4 linked regions of the Drosophila melanogaster genome follow. The protein of the gene in region 1 interacts with the protein of each later gene in a pairwise test. Each region holds a gene or a part of one and is shown in the gene's direction. Other genes may lie near its edges.

Region 1 (4,576 bases):
ATTCTCCATTACCTGACGGTCAACGAGGCGAACTTGTGATCGCAGCAGCGGATAAAATAGTAGCGAGGGTGGAGGAGGCCTGCGGCCAAAGCATGCGAATGAGGAAAACGAACCGAAGGCACCACACCCTGGTTTTCTGGTGGAGCGAGGATATTGCCTTGCAGCGCATCATCAGCCTACGCGCAACGAGACTCGTACAAAGAGCTCGTGGCACCACGCGTCTGGAAGCATGCCATACGGAATACAAGGTCACAAAGAATTCACCGAAGAAAACGATTAGAGCCAGCAATCGTGAATGCTTTCTGAAAGTCTGCGTCGCAGCAGAAAGCGATCCATCTGCTCTGGAAAACATCTTTAACGTTCTGTTCCTGTTCGGTCTGCCATTCCCAATTCCCAGATCGGGCCAAGCGGAGACGAATTGCGGCCTGTCACGGAGCCCGAGATCCTAGCGGCTGAGAGGAGTCTTAAAACCAAAACGGTACCACACCCGATCGCATCCCAAGCAAACTACGAGAAACAGTGCTATGTTTGTTACCGCCTAAATTTGAAGGTTTTTTTTTTGTTTTACCAATTATTTTTAAAATATCCATGAGATCTGTTACTAATTTTTTTATTTCGATTGAAAATCATTGTAGTATTTAAGTTTAGTGAGTAAAATAATGAGAAAGTGTCAGAAAATAGAGAAAAGCTGGGACAAACACGAAATGTGCTTATGATGCTATTATTGTTACCGCAACTGTAATAAAGAGAGTTTCTTGACAGTCTTAAAAGCGTGTAAACTTGGAATTTGTTGTTTATTTTCTTGTATATTTAATATTTTTAATTTGTTTTTTGATTTATAAGTAAAATAAATATTGTTTGATTATATTTTATAAAAAAAATTGCGTTTAATTAAGCAAAAAACCCTTTATTTTTAGCTTTAAAGTCAAAAATTCAACTTATTTTACAGTGTGTAAACAGTTTCTTGACAAACTGTATGTGATATGTGATTCTAGAGACATAGGCGCCGCGCAAGTTTGTTAACCCATGTTGCCATGTGCAATCCAACGCACACATACCGGACAAAACTGCCACGTCTACACTTATGTAAAATGTTTTATTATTCTTTCATATTTTTATTTTCTTTTAAATTTCTATGAATTTGCCAGAAAACATTTTGCCATGACCACTCTAACGCTAACAATTTCAAAATGTTTTGAAATTTTTTGATTTTTGTATACAATTTCTATTAATTCGCGGCCACGGCCCTTCTTACACCTTCCAAACCGGTCAAGACCGAACTTTTGATCAATTTGAAACAATTTTGTTCTTATTTTATATCCCAGTATTTAACGATATCCCAGAAAAATGATGAATGAATTTCGTGTTCCCATTTTCACGAGCTGACTAACGGTTATCTGATTGACTCGACAATACCATTCTCTCTTCATTTGAAATTATATGTGGTATATCATTGGTATAACATTGATATTATGTTAATATGGTTTTTGCCGCCGTAAGAATAGGGTATAAGCTATTAAGTTGCTGTTCACAGTGTTCAATATTTGAGTATGTAAATATTTGATTTTCTCTTGTAAATCGTATTAACAGCTGAGTGGATGTTTGAAAATAATTAAATCAGGTTGCTTTTATAACTTAATGCAATTCATATTGATATTTTACTGATATTCTCTTTCTTAAAGGTTTAATCATGTAAACAACATCACAGTGTCTTTACTTAAGGGTGGCTTATTGATTTTAGACACATGTTATCAACGTTGGATTTTAATGCATGTTGAACAAACACGAATAAATATGCAGTCTCAAGGACAGAGCCATCAACTGCCGTCCGCGGCCCATATATTATTAGATCAAAATCCGAATTCAACAGGCAGTAACCTAGTCGTAAAACAAAATGACATTCAATCTCTTTCATCAGTCGGTAAGAAATAACCATACATTTATATATGTATGTACATACGTTTGTAATTGATTTTTTTAAAGAATACATCTAGTTAAATACTTTATACATTAATGCAAATGAATAAGTTTGACAGCGAAGACAACCACAATTAAATTAAGAAAAATCAATAAATCAAACAATTGGTTATGCCTGGCCCGAGATAGATATGTGTCTAATGTGTCTCATATTAACAACATATTAAGAGATGCATATGGTGTACGCATCTAAAAATTCACACAACATAAAAATCAGTGTTCAGTGTCTGAGCTTATTTCGTGTAGTTAAATTAATTTTTATGTTGGCATTGCTTCGATGAAAGATACCAGAAAAATGTAAACGCAATATTTTTGAAAGAATTATTGACATGGTTAAAAAACAGACGATTTCCGTATTCTAAATGTGCATCCCTCATTAAAGCCGTATCTTGTAAGGGGTATCTGGTAGTCGAGAAACTCGTCTATAATGTTATCTCTCACTCCATCTAAAATTAAATTTTTTATTGTAATTTTTTTTTTTTCTGGCTTAAAGCTTACTTTGCACTTAAATTTTTTTTCGTTCTGCTGTAGCTTGCACGTTTTTCCTTTTTTAAATTTTTGACAACATATATTACATATATGTACATATATTATTTGGTATTCATTGAAAAGTTCTTCGGTGCTTTTCGGCCTTCATTCAATACAGTATTTTCTTTTAGGGAGAAGCTTCCGCTTCTCCGCGAAGTTGGATCAATCTCGGATATTAAAATTAAAAAATTGTTAGGTTTAAAATGGCCATTTATTGAATATTAACATACTGCACAAAATAAGCTGCGGCATAAAAAACACCTTTTTGTTTTCTAAAACGATTAGAAAATTGCTTTTTTTTTATATAACAAATTTAAGAATCCGGTGCTGAAATACCTTATTGGTTTGAAACCTCTAAACTGTACGAACAAACTACAGCAGACAACTTCGGATGTGTCCTTTGAAATTTCAAGGGTTCGTTACCCTGCATATCCGTTGGTTAATCTGCACCAATTGAAGTGCTTAACACTAGTCTAATTTGTTTAAACTGTATTATTTCTAGAATATCATTGACTGCGTAGTGAGAGATCTTGAAAACTCATTGACTCGGCCCATTTTAGGGTAGTCCTGAATCTGGATGTGTATGATCTATACCTGTATTTCAATCTGCATACATATGCATGTGTCTGCAGTTCTCAGTGTGTGTCTCAATCATCTTTCCTTGCTGTACCTGAGGAATTATCTCTTGAGCATAGTATCTAGTTGCCTTCTCTAAAGTATGAAGCTTATACAGATTACTTCCTCTGATAATTGCACGAAATAATATTCAGTGTGAAGAAGGAAGTTTAAAAATAAGTTTTGTTTTCATTTTATTATTTGCCTTGCTATGTTTTATTGATTTAAAAATCTGTTGCGGAACTCGACCAAAGGGTACGGCCAAAGACACCAGAATAACAAGATGCGTAACGCCATTCGATGTGGCTCTAGAGCACTATGGGGCATTTGGCCTGTTTTTTTTACAATAATGTGTTTTTCACAAGTATGCAAATTTGAAGTATTTTAGTATTAATACATTGGAAATACGTTAAACTGTTATGATACAGCCCGCAAAAGTTAATTTTACAATGCACCGTTATAATAACAGCTGTTAAAGTCGGCTGTTGCGAGCATATATCACGTGGCTGCTTTGCGCGCAAAATTTAGCTTAACTTTCAAAGTGTTAAAATTTAAAAAGAAGAAGAAGGAGAGTATAATTTGAAATAGATAATCAATCTTTAGGTTTTTATTATGTGTTGTTATTAATATATTGTTTATTGTGTGCGCCTATTTCTAACAATTTGTACATTTAGCAAGTGGTGTCAACATGTAGTTGTTTGAAAAAATTTTAAACTTTGAATAGAGCTACAACAATTTGTTCAAATTTGTTCAGTAAGTGTTTATATCCATGTTGTAGTGTGTTCAATTTCTAACTCATATCAGGTAGTCTCTATGTGCGTTTTTTGCGGTTTCTTGAGAAATTTCATTTTTTAGGGAGCAATATCTCGATTTCCAATGCTGCCCTGCTGGAAGTGTGGCGCAAGCAAAAGGTTGTTCGTCAAAAGGAAAATTCTATTTGCACTTTTATCAGTGGGCATATTTCTGATAGCAAGCTAGACTTTAATGAACGATTAACGAATAATATTAATAACGAATGATTTCAGTCAATCTTTTGCGAAATTGGAGAAAATGCAATCGAAAAATAAATGAATTTTTGAAAGTTTTTCAAATTGGTTAGAAGAACACCTAGTCCTGAAGGTAAAGGAGAAAAATAAAAAGGAAAGGAAATTAGCTGGACTCCCGAAAACGTCATATTATTTAAAAAATTTGAGTGGCCGAAGACAGCAAGCAGATGAACTCGTAAGGGCGCAGAATCACAACGAATGTCTTTTGGTTCAAGCTGTACGGAAGTGCTGCCTGCGGGATCTTGCAGCCATACTTAAAATTCTTTTGTTGAACCCAGCCAAAGCAAAAACTATTAGTAGCTTCGCAGATGTCTTTTACAGAGCAATGGATACTACGGATCCCATAATATCATCAATAAATTTAAAGAGGCGAAAACATAAGCGACTATCTCTTCCACCAGAAGTCATTC
Region 2 (6,524 bases), about 17 Mb from region 1:
TCGTGGCCGAAGATTTTATTAGAAAGAAAACATTTTTATATAGTATCACTTTACTTTTGCCAAATAAACTTTTTCGTATTCCTTGCTATTTTATGATACTCTTATATGGCAATATGAAATTTTTAATCTTTGAAAATAATGTCATAAAGTACTCAAAATTTTAATATTTCACATTCTAAATTTAATCAAAATTGTATTATGTTAAGGCGCAGTCTAAGCCATCTGGACAAGCTGCCGAAGGCAAAGGTGGCCGAATGGCTGGCCGGGATCGACACCATTATTTGCAGCACGGATGGGGTGCTGTGGCAGGAGAATACCCCCATTGAGGGCTCTGTAGAGGCATTCAATGCCATAATTTCAAAGGGAAAGCGATGTCTCATAGCCACCAACGAGTGCTGCCTAACAAACAAGGATCTGTTCCAGAAGGCCAAGTGCCTGGGCTTCAATGTCAAGGAGCAGGACATTTTCAGCTCGTCGGGTGCCATTGCGAGTTACCTTAGCGACCGGAAGTTTAAGAAGAAAATCCTCGTTTTGGGTGGTGACGGTATCCGCAAAGATCTGAAAGAGGCCGGATTCTGTTCCGTGGTAAACGATCTGCAGCCAAATGACCAGAAAAAAATCGACTTCGTCAGGAGCTTAGTTCTCGATCCGGATGTGGGAGCTGTTTTGGTGGCCAGAGACGACAACATGATAGCGAACGAGTTGCTTGTGGCCTGCAACTATCTTCAAAATCCCAAAGTCTTGTTCCTTACCACTTGCATTGATGGATTCCAGCCATTTGGGAAAAAGAGGATCCCAGATGCCGGATCTCTGGCCTCTGCCATCGAGATAATTGTACAACGCAAGCCTATCGTTTTGGGCAAACCGAATCAGCGGATTTTGGGCAAGTTGATGAAGTCTGGCGAAATAAAGCCCGAAAAGACGCTTGTCATTGGAAACTCGTAAGTTCAATGATTACTTTTATTGAGGATCATACTTTATCCTCTTTCCTTTAGGCTTAAATCAGACATTTTATTTGCAAGTATATGTGGTTTCCAATCATTATTGGTGGGCTGCGATAACGGAGCGATCGAAAAAGCCGAGAAAATTAAAAAAGAGGGAGATGAGAAGAAAATGAAACTTGTTCCAGATGCTTTTCTCTCCGGTCTTGCTTCTTTTGGGGAGTATTTATGCATCTAGGTGATGTCGGGCAAGAAAAGCGATTTCCATATCCAAAAAACATACCCAGCTGACCAAAAAGTAATTTAGATCATATTCAAAATTCAAACTAAGCCGCTCAAAAGCTGAACAGCTGTTTTGTTTCTGAGCACTCCTGTGTGCTAAATGATTTCGGTATTTTGGCTTTTAGCACAAGTCGCGAGTCAGTGCTACCAGTATATTTGTAAATTTTTAGTTTTAAAATTTGTAATCTAAAATAGTAAAGCAAATTGCCAGTTTTCTGTTGAAACTAATAGTTTTGCATCAATAATCGCGAAGAAAAAGTTGAATTAATGTGATAATAAAAAAATACATGTTGTTGGTATATTTTTGGTATTTGATTTGATTGCTTCGTGGTCGCACTGAAAGAAGAAGAGTAATAAAACATCGAACTATCGAAGAACGATATGCCCCGATAGGTTCGGACAAGACAAAGAACAAAATGTTCTCTGCAAAAGCTGTGCTCGCTTAAAAACGCAAAAAGTCAGTGCATCTAGTGCATTGTCAGTGGTGCATAAGATTGTTCTATAAATAGCGAAAAATGAAAATAAACTGCAGGCGAAGTAGAAAAAACACCTTGAGTTGAGTGCAACGGCTGTGCGAGTGTGTGTGCGTGAGAGCGAGAGTGCGCTCGTGTGTGTGTGTACACATGCATGTTGATAAACGAAAATAAAACAAGGGACCGCCCCCCGCCGTAGAATAGCCACCCCGCAAAGTTCATCACCCTAACCAGAATCGGTGGCACTGCATCGCGCTAAATCGGCCACTTTCCATTATCCGCATCCACCGCCCCTCCCGCTCTCTGGGTCCATCATCCACCTCCTGCGAAAACAACAACAGCAACCACCAGCGCCCTTACAACAACTGTTACAAAAGAGCAAGAGAGAAGACACCCCGCACTCACACTCACACGGAAGCAGTGAGTGTCCTCGCCAGAAACTCGAATTCCCAACCAAACATCCCGAATCTGAGGCCCAAATCTTAAGCGCCAATCCGCCGGAATGGACTCGGACATCGAAATGGATATGGAATCGGACAACGACGGGGAGTACGACGACGACTACGACTACTACAACACAGGTAAGTGGAAACTAGTACCTGATCTAGAGGGGCACTTCCCCCTGACAACAATCGGCCATCGATTTAACTGTGGCCAAATTAGGGGTACGAGTGTATCTGTGAGGAAGTACACACACACATGTCGGGCTCTTGGTTTGGTTATTCACCTTTTCGGAAGGAGGCCCGCAAGACCTGGGAATTTGCATTCAGCACTTGACATTCGCCTTGGGTTCCATGACCAAACCCCACACCCCCCATTTGATCTCCGCCCTTCTTCGCTGACCATGAAGCTTAAATTATGGAATTGAACTTGAAACAAACACACACGCACGTAGCTGCACGGCGAGAAAATTGCACTGTGTAATAGGATAAATGTTTAGTTTTAAAATGTCAAATCTAGGCCAAACTAAATGATTACATTTGGTACATTTCCCAAAGCAATTCTAATGATGATTTGATACCTCAATTTAGAGAATTATGTGATAGGGCTTGATTTTCAAATGGTTTTATAACATGAACTCAAATCAATATTGATTTAAAAGGGGCAAAATAATATAAGAATATTACTAAAGACTTGATTTCTCTCAGTGCATGGGCAAGTACAATTGGTAGTTGCGAGTTGGGACTGATTGCGAGGCTTGTGTTTTGTGGCTGGCTTCATTATTGCCCGCCACTCTGCTCACGCTCTTCGTAGCTCCACAACCCACACAAGCACACATTAACACACACACCACGAACACCAGCTCAGGTGCGTGCTCAAGTACGCAGTTGCATTCTGTTGTGTGCCGCTGTTCCGTCAACTCGGTCTCCGCTTCTTGACCTGTCCCTTATTGTTCCGACCTGGCCAAGACGCCCCCTAACTCAACCTTCAATCGGATACCTCATATCGGTAACATCGTAACGTCGAGCACTTCTATGGCAGCCTTGTCGCGCGGTTGTTTTCTCGAATTAGCCAATGTGACTAACAAAATGCAAACATGATTACCGGCTGCATACACTGTAATCCCTTTTGATCCATACATGTCAGATTAACATAGAAGATATTCCCAAAGTAATAATGTTTCGTCGGTTTCAACCGATCAATGTAAGTCAGCCATTGCTTAACTTACAAACTCAACTCAACCTTCGTAACTCTGGAACCAGTTTTGTACAATAAGGGATTAAAAGTGCCCTATTGTATATAACTGCAACTGCTAACTCAGGGTTCGTTTGAAATCCACCCTTGCTGTCTTTCAGTCTGATTTTGGTTTAAAATACAATCAGTTAGCTTAAATAACCAAAAGAAAAAGTGGAAACTGTCCTATCAAAGCATAATAGATTTATGATTTATAAATGTTATAAAGTTCAATTATATTATAATACTAATATCCTTTTCTTCTTCAGGCGAGGACTGCGATGTGGAGCGTCTGGATCCGAAGCGGGCCGACCCGGAGTACTTTGAGTACGAGTGCCTAACCGTCGAGGACATCGAGAAGCTGCTGAACGAGCGCGTGGAGAAGCTGAACACCATCCTGCAGATCACACCCTCGCTGGCCAAGGTGCTGCTGCTGGAGCACCAGTGGAACAATGTGGCCGTCGTTGAAAAGTACCGCCAGGACGCCAATGCACTGCTGGTGACGGCGCGAATCAAGCCGCCATCGGTGGCAGTGACGGATACGGCTTCGACGAGTGCAGCGGCGGCCAGTGCCCAACTGCTCCGACTGGGGAGCAGCGGGTACAAGACGACGGCATCGGCGACACCACAGTACCGCAGCCAGATGTGTCCCGTTTGTGCCAGCTCGCAGCTGGGCGACAAGTTCTACAGCCTGGCGTGTGGGCACTCGTTTTGCAAGGACTGCTGGACCATATACTTCGAGACGCAGATCTTCCAGGGAATCTCCACGCAGATCGGCTGCATGGCCCAGATGTGTAATGTTAGGGTGCCCGAGGACTTGGTGCTGACGCTGGTCACGCGACCCGTTATGCGGGACAAGTACCAGCAGTTTGCATTTAAGGACTACGTCAAGTCACACCCGGAACTCCGCTTCTGTCCCGGGCCCAACTGCCAGATTATTGTGCAATCATCGGAGATCTCCGCCAAACGTGCCATTTGCAAGGCTTGCCACACGGGCTTCTGCTTCCGGTGCGGCATGGACTACCACGCACCCACCGACTGCCAGGTGATCAAGAAGTGGCTGACCAAGTGCGCCGACGACAGCGAAACGGCAAACTACATCAGCGCCCACACCAAAGACTGCCCCAAGTGTCACATCTGCATTGAGAAGAACGGCGGCTGCAACCACATGCAGTGCTTCAACTGCAAGCACGACTTCTGCTGGATGTGCTTGGGCGACTGGAAGACGCACGGCTCCGAGTACTACGAGTGCTCTCGCTACAAGGACAACCCCAACATTGCCAACGAGTCGGTGCACGTGCAGGCGCGCGAGGCGCTGAAGAAGTACCTGCACTACTACGAGCGCTGGGAGAACCACTCCAAGTCTCTGAAACTCGAGCAACAGACGATCGACCGGCTGCGCCAGCGGATCAACTCGAAGGTGATGAACGGCAGCGGCACCTGGATCGACTGGCAATACCTCTTCAACGCGGCGGCACTGCTGGCCAAGTGTCGATACACGCTGCAGTACACCTATCCGTACGCCTATTACATGGAGGCCGGTTCGCGAAAGAATCTCTTTGAGTACCAGCAGGTGAGTCGCAGTTCGGCTATTCTTTAACTGGTTGCCCAATAATGTATTAATTCCGTGCAGGCACAACTGGAGGCCGAAATCGAGAATCTGTCGTGGAAGATAGAGCGCGCCGAGACAACGGACCTGGGTGATCTCGAGAATCAAATGGACATCGCTGAAAAGCGCCGCACCACGCTACTGAAAGACTTCTTCCCAGTGGACGCATAGGCAACCGTCGAGCTTCCAGGGCCACCAGAACGGACAGCCTGTCTTGTTTAGCACAAACACTCTTTGATTGACTGCTGACAGGTCGACGTGACGCGACAGTATAGAGACGCTTATTTAAATTAAATTATACACATATTTACATGTATCCATCTAGTAGTAGGCCCAACGACGTGTAGCTAATTTTTAAATTAAACTAATAATCAAGTGCATATAGACTAGAAAACGTAGCATAGAGCATAGTCGACTACTCGAAGTATAATTACTATAGTTGTGACATTCGAAATCACTCAAAATGATCGGTGTAACTGCAATACAACGCCTTGCGCAGAACGTTAACGATATACAGTATCTATAGCTAAAGCCCTAGCGATACCGATACCGGTAGCTATACCATAACTATAAAACTAACTTTAAATCTAGCAACTGACTAACTGACAAACCAGACGCATTTCAGTGGCCAAGTGTTCCAACAGTTTTCCAAAAACTAGCCCAAACGACCCGATGAAATGCAGAAACAGTAACAATTCTAAATGTATAGCGCCGCAAGTCAAGCAATTATAGATCAAAGACCGCCTAAGCAGATCGGCTCATCGGTTAGACCCTAAGTTTTAAACCTTGTATTAGCCCCGCGTGAACAGCATCAAGTATTCGCAATCTGTATCTCGTAACTAATCGCAGCACATCAATCGAACGCAAAAGTCTTAAGTAAGAACGAAGATAGATACTCCCCGTCCCCGATCCCGTTCCTTTTGATTCTCACTCGATTCTCGATTAACTTTGTAAGCTGAATCATAAATTATATTCTAGGATTACGCTATGTATGTATGCTTATGCGACTGAATTTGAATTAAATTTACACTAGATATACAACTATTCAACTGACTTTTCGACTGTGGGCTGCAAGCTTACGATTTGGGTCTTGTGCTTAAAGCTTTGGAGAAGCTCATACGAAGCTTGGATTGAGTGTTTTAAGGATAAGCTTTCACTCAAGTTTCAAGTTTGGGTTTTGAGCCGAGTTTATTTTTTTTAGTGATTGAGTACGAGCTATATTCCAACTTATCTTCCTTGATTTCGTTGTTATTCAGATTGGATGTGCTTAGTTAGTCTTCGATGATGTTTTTGCTATTATTTTTTACCCTTTTTATTGCCGAACAGTGAACTCTTTCTGCTGCTCTTCCGGCTCTTTCGGCTCTTCCGGCTCTTCCTGCTCATCCGACTCATCCTAACATCAGGCGCCAAAGGTGGTTTCTGCTTCGCAAGTTGGCTGGCTAAGGTGAACAACCGGCACTCGGAATGCTCCTTCAGCAGACTGTTGGCGAACTTCTTGACTCCCGATATCTTGGTCACCCTCACGTTGTTCATATTTTCCACTTT
Region 3 (3,878 bases), on another chromosome or scaffold:
CCGATGGGTATGTTTTGATGATGGACCTTACAAATTGGATCATTACATATTTGCTTTATCACTTGCTCACAGGTGCTCACAGCTAATCACATGGAGCCCGTGAAAGGCTTTCTGGGTCGCTTCCTGAGGCGTCGACTCTTCCAGCTGGAACTGCAGACGCAACATCCGCAGCCGGAGCTGGCGGCAGTGCTGGCCTGGTTGCCCTCCGTTTGGCAGCACATCAACCGATTCCTGGAGGTGCACAGCTCCAGTGATGTAACCATTGGGCCGAGGCTATTCCTCGCCTGCCCAATGGACCTGAAGGACTCGCAGGTGTGGTTCACCGACATCTGGAACTACCACCTCTCGCCATACTTGGTGGAGGCGGTGCGCGAGGGAGTTCAGCTCTATGGACGACGAGGAGGTGCCTGGAACGACCCCTCCGCCTTCATTAGGAACTCCTATCCGTGGCCATACGGTCCGGACTCAGTGCCTCCACTACGGCAAATCAATGCCGAGGATGTGGGACTCGAAGGCGTGGCCCTAACCAACGGTGACCAACAGGATCCCTTGGTAAGATACAGGACTAATATTGCTCCTTTGATTTTCAACTAATGAGGCGTTTCGTCAACAGCTCAACATGCTGATGCGCCTGCAGGAGGCGGCCAACTACTCGGAGGCCCAGGATCAGGAGTCCGATTGTGCCAGCCTGGACTCGAATGTTACGCCCGAAAGTTCCGCTGGAGCCGAGTGAACAGCTATAGAAACCAACCACTTCGTACATGCCAAATTTAGATGAACTAACTGAGAGGAGTACGCCAGCTGAGGGTCCAAGATATGCACCCAAGATATCCTTGCCCCCGCACAAATGAGACTTCTTGCACTACTTTCGCAGCGAGGTTCAAAAGCAGTTCCAAGAGTTTTCCATTTGCACCACGTCACCAACCTTTCCAATCATCGTTTCTAGCCACTCCCTGCCATCTAGAGTAAATTGCACTTTTTAGCGCACTTGTTAAAAATGCAAATTGTCCTAGCCACAAACTGAACCTGATAACGAAGCACTACCATCCCAAAAAGCAAGGACCCCGGCTGCGTTTCCGAAAAACCCAAATCTTGAGAAAAGGAAACTTCACTAACATGAAATGTTACAGAGATAAGACGAGTGAATTCATTTTTGTACATATAGATGAAAACTAACCCCAAGTCCCCCCTATGCTTAAGTGTGAATCTGACCGACGGTCTAGACTTTTTATACCCTTTATCCCAGCCCAGAGTCGGCGGATCATATGAATTAAATCGCAACTAATACCTAACTCTACTGTAAATGTAGCTATAAGTTTTTGCTACTACCAATTTACAAGATGTATAGTTGAAGGAAAAAGCTTTCACTTTAGTTTAATTATTTGCGTAATTATCATTAAATATTGTTACAAACATATTGCATATTTATAAAGCCCAATAAAGCAAAATACCATTAACATATTTATTATGCCAAGCGGCGCTTAAACACAGGAATACGCGAAAGTGAATACGTAATGCCCCATCCTCGATAAAATAGCTAAATTTCCGAACTCCAGATCCCTATCGAAAGATAATCTTATGTAATACAAACTCAAGCAGCAAACTATATGATACGATAAAGCAAATTATGTGTCTCTGTCTAATTTAAATGTGTGCATTTATGAGATATGACATCAAATCAAAATAAAATATAATATCGAACAATAATTGTTTTGTTGTTGTTTCTCTTCTCGCGGACAGACTACAAAAAGAATGTGAAATACCAAACCAAATATTTCACCATGCTGCGAAATAAAATAAAACATAATAGTTGCCCTTATTTGCTGTTTCTTTATTTTAATATATTTAGATTTAAATACCCCGCCGAATTCCGATTGCTAGCGATTGAATATATCGATATATTAATATTTATATTTTTTCATTCGAGATGTGGTCACACTTCTCTGCATGAAAATACCAAAATATCGAGCAATAATTACCCATCCATATATATATTTTGTTTTGTATATTCCCTCTGGTCACATTGTTCAGCAAGTCTAAGAAAAGTAGGTAAAAGTGCTTTAAAAATTGTATTAATTGCGAAAAATATCAAGTACCTGCGACCACAAAGCTATTGAATACAACGAGCGGGATAAGCAAGCCGACATAAATTGGAAAACCAGTTGCCACCGGTTTATAAGCCGTTTTCCGGTAGATGCAACCGCCCACCGATTACACAACATCTGTGATGGCTGTGAAAAATGGGAGAATTATGCGGATATTATGCCAAACACAGCACGAAATCGGGATAAATATATGGCGACAGGCGTAGAGGAACCTCAAAACAATGCGATTTTTATGGAAATAGATTCTATAACTTGGCACGTAGTTCTGCTAGCTGTTACATAACCTCCAACTAAGTGGGCACCATATATCGGTGAATTCGTAACCCGTTAGAATTCACGGATGACCGCCTGGTCGGGTGGGAAATTTGGCTATCGCGGGTCCAAGACCCTATGTTCCTCTGCTGATACCTCATAAATTGATATTCATTTTACTACCTTGCAGACTCTGTGAGAAAATGGCCCTGCGACTACTCAACAGTGCTGTGCTCCGCCAGCTGGCCTCTCAGCTGCCCAAGAGTGCCCAGGTGGGCAGCGTGGCCGCCGTCCACACACTGGACAAGATCGGCAAGCGGGAGATCGTTGGCTACGGCTGGAACGGCACCGCCTGCTACGCGGATCGCGTGGACTACCCTCTGCCCGCCGTGCGCTTCCGTGAGCCCACCAACGAGATCAACGCTCTGCGCGCCAAGGAGCAGGGAGACTGGAAGAAGCTCAGCACCCAGGAGATCAAGGCCCTGTACCGCGCCAGCTTCTGCCAGACTATCGCCGAGGTCCAGGCTGGATCCGGGGAGTGGAAGCTCCACCTGGGCGTTTCACTCCTCTTCTGCGCCGCCGCCATCTGGGTGGCCGTACTGATGAACATCTTCGGTAAGCCATTTTTCCGGTTCCCTTTTGCGGCTATCCATTATTGAGCATTTTCCTTTCAGTGTACGATGAGCTGCCCGTTACCTTCGATGAGGAGCACCAGAAGGCGCAGCTGCAGCGCATCATCGACCTGGAAATCAACCCCGTCACCGGATTGACCTCCAAGTGGGACTACGAGAACAAGAAGTGGAAGAACTAAGTGCGCTGTCGTTAAATAATTCCGCGATTGTGTGTGATTAAGTTAGCCGACGTCTATGTGTATTAAGTAAAAGCAAGATAGTCGAAATTAAAGTTATGGCTGCTGCCTAAATCAATCGATCTTGGGTCAGTCATCAGTTTCTGCTAGGAAACCAGCCTCAATGATCCGTTTTAAGAGCAATGATTGTTATTCGATTTATTAACAGACCTTTTAGTGTGTAGATTACAAACTTTTCGTTACTAAAATCGCCACAGGCATAGCCAATTTAATTACCACTTAGTGAGACCTTTTAGCACTCTTATGTCTCATGTTCCGGCTGTTCGATTTTTGAACCTCATGAACAAGGATCTGCAAGGCTTCCAAGGCATTTGTGTTCTTGGCAAATTCCCTTTCAAACATGCGGCCGAATCTTAAGATCAATGGTTTCAGTTCCGGCGTTATCATTGCTTTCTCTTTTTCGGTCCTAAAAAGGCGGATTTCAAAGGCATTGCCAGACATATAGGCGAACACTACTTACACAGCTCCCTTTTTTATCACCTCTTTCAGGATCTGGACAACCGTTTGAATGTCCCCAAATAATCTGTACTTGTCTTTGGTAGAAATTTCACCGTCAAAGAATAACTTCAGTTCGTTGTCAGTTATATTCTTCTTTCGACCCCATTCCTCCAGCTCTGCCGTCTCTTTTTGGTAGGCGCTCCGAGCTCTGCTGA
Region 4 (3,276 bases), on another chromosome or scaffold:
GTATGAGTAATTTTTGCCCGGCAAATGGCCAAGTCGTGTTTGTTGGCGAGGGTGTAGCTTTACGAGTGCTAAGTGAATGAAACAAAGTGAATTTAACTCAATCCAATTGAACCATAACGATTGAAAGTTTTCGGGGCTTATGCGGGCTGTAAAGCACTCCCCACACTTTGAATATAAATTAAAATCCAATGCACATCATTTCGCAGCTTCAACAATACCCAACTCAAAAATTGTAAAACAAAAAAAGGAGTCTGAAAAGGGCACCTCCGAAATCCGAAAACAGATGTCGGAATATAAATGCGTGCATAAATATTCGCCATGCGACAACAATTGATTCTGTTTGCTTATGCCGTTTGGAAATATTCTACTGTTTAAATAAATAATTATTTACGATCGCAGTGCAAGGGTTCAAAGGGCACGATTGGGTGGTGAAATCAAGGATATCACGTGATGGAGCTGAATGTGGACAGATTTGAAACCATGTCATATTGCTATGCTTTGATTCAATTGTGAATAAATAAGAGAAAGCTCAATAGCAGATTTTTAAAATAAATAATTAAAATATGTATAGATATACTAAACAAAAATAGGTGCTACATTTGAATTTGTTTTAAAATGAATCGCTGTTCGCTTGGCCCAGTAAACTTCTCTATCACTGGGTGATTGGTATAAAAATCGCTCATAAATCTTAACTGCAACAACCATATTTAATTACAAAACTTTTGCCAACTGTCCAGCGCTTTTCAACGCCCCCCCTACACCACCAGCTGTCCAGGATATGCGGGACACACGGGGATATGGTGGTCCTTTTTGTTTTTTGTTTTCACAACCGCGCTGCAGGCAAGGTGGACTTTCCGAGGGGCGGAAGTGGCAATGCGGAGGTTTTCATGCCGAAATTATTACGCATACCCACACACAGATGCCCCCTTAGGCTCTTTGCCATTTTTATCGACTGCCAAATGGCCAACACTTGTCCACTCATCCGCTCTTGGCCACATGGCCTCTTGGCCACATGGCCACTTGGCCTAACACTTCCGGTCCGGGGCCATAAACCGAAATCTCTTGTTTGCACTGGCCCGGAGTCAAGAAGCAATTGCCAAAAAAAAAAAAAGGAACAGAAAGCAAATGGGGGGCCGGGCCTGCGAAATCAGTTAACAGGCAATTTCAACTATTTTACAGATTGCGTACGGAATGGCCAAATGAACCGGGCCAAATGTCAATGCCATCAGTGTATGTTCGAATGGAGATCACTGTGGGAAAACTCTTTCAAAAAAACACAGTATTAAGTCTAAAAAATGACATATGTAACAATATATATTTGAAAACGAACATTAAGCATGATTGTTTTCCCCTCAAAGAATAAGTATTATATTACAGCAAAAAATAAAACAACTGCGAAGTAAAAAACAAAACATTTTGCTTACATGAACAAAACACGATACCCCAAAACCTACAACCAGACCAATTTTGGTTAATTAGCAGAGTGCCGAGAACCTCGGGGATCATGGACCATGTACCACTCAACAGATCTCAAGTGCTTTCCCTGTTCCACAGCCAGATAAAATCTGCAACTGGGCGATATAAAAAGAGCCCCGAGTGCAGCTAACATCATTCGCTAACCAGCAGAGAAGTTGAAACTGCAGAGGCATTATCGAACGCAACATGAGAGTTTGTGGGTAGCTCCGATCCAAGATCCTCCATAAAAAAAAAAAAAAACAAGGAGTTTCTTCTTATTTTTATTTTTTTTTTTTTTGTGCTTTATCCTAGACCACTTGCTGCTGATTGGATTAGTTTTGGCGACTATCGCCGGCGGTCATGAGGCTTTGGCACATCCGCCTAGAGCCGATACCCCACCGTGTACTCCTCCCCCGGATCCGTGCACAACAACAACATGCCCACCACCACCGCCGTGCACCACAACAACATGTCCACCACCAGAACCACCACCGTGCACCACAACAACATGCCCACCACCAGAACCACCACCGTGCACCACAACAACATGCCCACCACCACCACCTCCGTGCATTACTACAACGTGCCCACCACCACCACCACCTCCACCACCACCACCACCACCACCGTGCACCAGGACACCACCTCCATGCACCAGGACACCACCTCCATGCACCAGGACACCACCTCCATGCACCAGGACACCTCCTCCATGCACCAGGACACCACCCCCCTGCACCAGGACACCTCCATGCACCACCACTCCTCCCTGCACCCCACCGTGCACCACCACCAAGCCCTGCACCACAACCGTTTGCACAACACCCAAGAGCGACAACGCTGGGCCAATTGTCGACGGAAATGAAGAACAGCCCGATATAGACAATCCAGTTGCTATTGCCCAGGTGCTGATCTCGCGCCACGATTGCCGTGGCCAGGAGGACGGAACCTTCCTCGCCGACGTGCGTCACTGTCGCCGCTACTACGTGTGCAACCGTCAGAGGTCGAAGCGCCAGAACTGCCCCAACGGCTACTGGTTCGATCGCGAGCTGAAGGCCTGCCGACTGGCCAGTACCGTCAACAACTGTGACGCCAGGCGCAACTGATGTTGCTGCTGCCAATGTGGCCATGCGCACAAGCAAAGCAAATTGGCTTTAAAGAATTTTTTTTTTTTTCACTATTTCAAAGAACATAGAAGCAAAGCAAGTGTGAATTAATTGTAAACTATGCCAAAGCAATAAAGTAAATATTTCACCGATTATACAATAAATAAGAGTGAGCATTCATATTTGAGTTGAACATTAGTTGCGTGCAAAACAGTGTGACCGAATATTGCCAGCACAGGGTTACTTTGATCAATTTGAACTATGCAGCTGTGTCGGCCCTTTGATTTACTTTCGAAATCAATCAAAGCCTTTATTAATATATAGCTAAATATAGAACACGAACGATTAAGCTGTCTGGCCCGCTCTCCAATTGTCATCAATTTGCCCGGAGGCAAAATAAAGAAAACTTTCAATCAGCCGAACAAAAATTGCGAAAAAGCAAAACAAGCTCATAAATTTGTCAACACTTTTGGAGCGACATCGACTGCGAGTGGAAGTGGTAGTGGATGGTGGTAGTGCCACTCGGTCGGGTGGGGGTCAGAAAAGTATGCCACAGTTTGGTGCACATCCATATCCGTTTTATAGGCGTCAACTTTTCGGTCGAGGACTGGAAGGGCCAACAACAACAGCAATAACAGTGCGACATTTGTGAGTTAGTGTCTGTGTGGCATTACTATGTCAGGCTATTTATTATATCCTGCCACATACCACCGCC

Evidence for each region.
Region 2: the proteins of sxc (region 1) and ari-2 interact in a two-hybrid assay, tested with the Drosophila melanogaster proteins (one large-scale study listed by BioGRID).
Region 3: the proteins of sxc (region 1) and COX4 interact in a two-hybrid assay, tested with the Drosophila melanogaster proteins (one large-scale study listed by BioGRID).
Region 4: the proteins of sxc (region 1) and CG34324 interact in a two-hybrid assay, tested with the Drosophila melanogaster proteins (one large-scale study listed by BioGRID).

The regions. Positions count from the first base shown.
Region 1 is NT_033778.4:5,305,732-5,310,307, forward strand, and holds the start of sxc (super sex combs), read left to right. Parts: upstream 1-1,556; 5' UTR 1,557-1,767; coding exon 1,768-1,921; intron 1,922-4,576.
Region 2 is NT_033778.4:22,211,243-22,217,766, forward strand, and holds ari-2 (ariadne 2), read left to right. Parts: upstream 1-1,592; 5' UTR 1,593-2,198; coding exon 2,199-2,277; intron 2,278-3,639; coding exon 3,640-4,943; intron 4,944-5,003; coding exon 5,004-5,150; 3' UTR 5,151-6,022; downstream 6,023-6,524. Other genes in the region: CG11291 (uncharacterized protein), read left to right, coding at 199-941, 996-1,179; CG30278 (uncharacterized protein), read right to left, coding at 6,276-6,524.
Region 3 is NT_033779.5:19,956,720-19,960,597, forward strand, and holds COX4 (cytochrome c oxidase subunit 4), read left to right. Parts: upstream 1-1,993; 5' UTR 1,994-2,049; intron 2,050-2,112; exon of another isoform or gene 2,113-2,547; 5' UTR 2,548-2,560; coding exon 2,561-2,972; intron 2,973-3,031; coding exon 3,032-3,168; 3' UTR 3,169-3,346; downstream 3,347-3,878. Other genes in the region: sick (sickie), read left to right, coding at 1-7, 73-552, 614-733; CG34051 (uncharacterized protein), read right to left, coding at 3,445-3,631, 3,686-3,874.
Region 4 is NC_004354.4:13,455,998-13,459,273, reverse strand, and holds CG34324 (uncharacterized protein), read left to right. Parts: upstream 1-1,610; 5' UTR 1,611-1,662; coding exon 1,663-1,672; intron 1,673-1,767; coding exon 1,768-2,561; 3' UTR 2,562-2,740; downstream 2,741-3,276.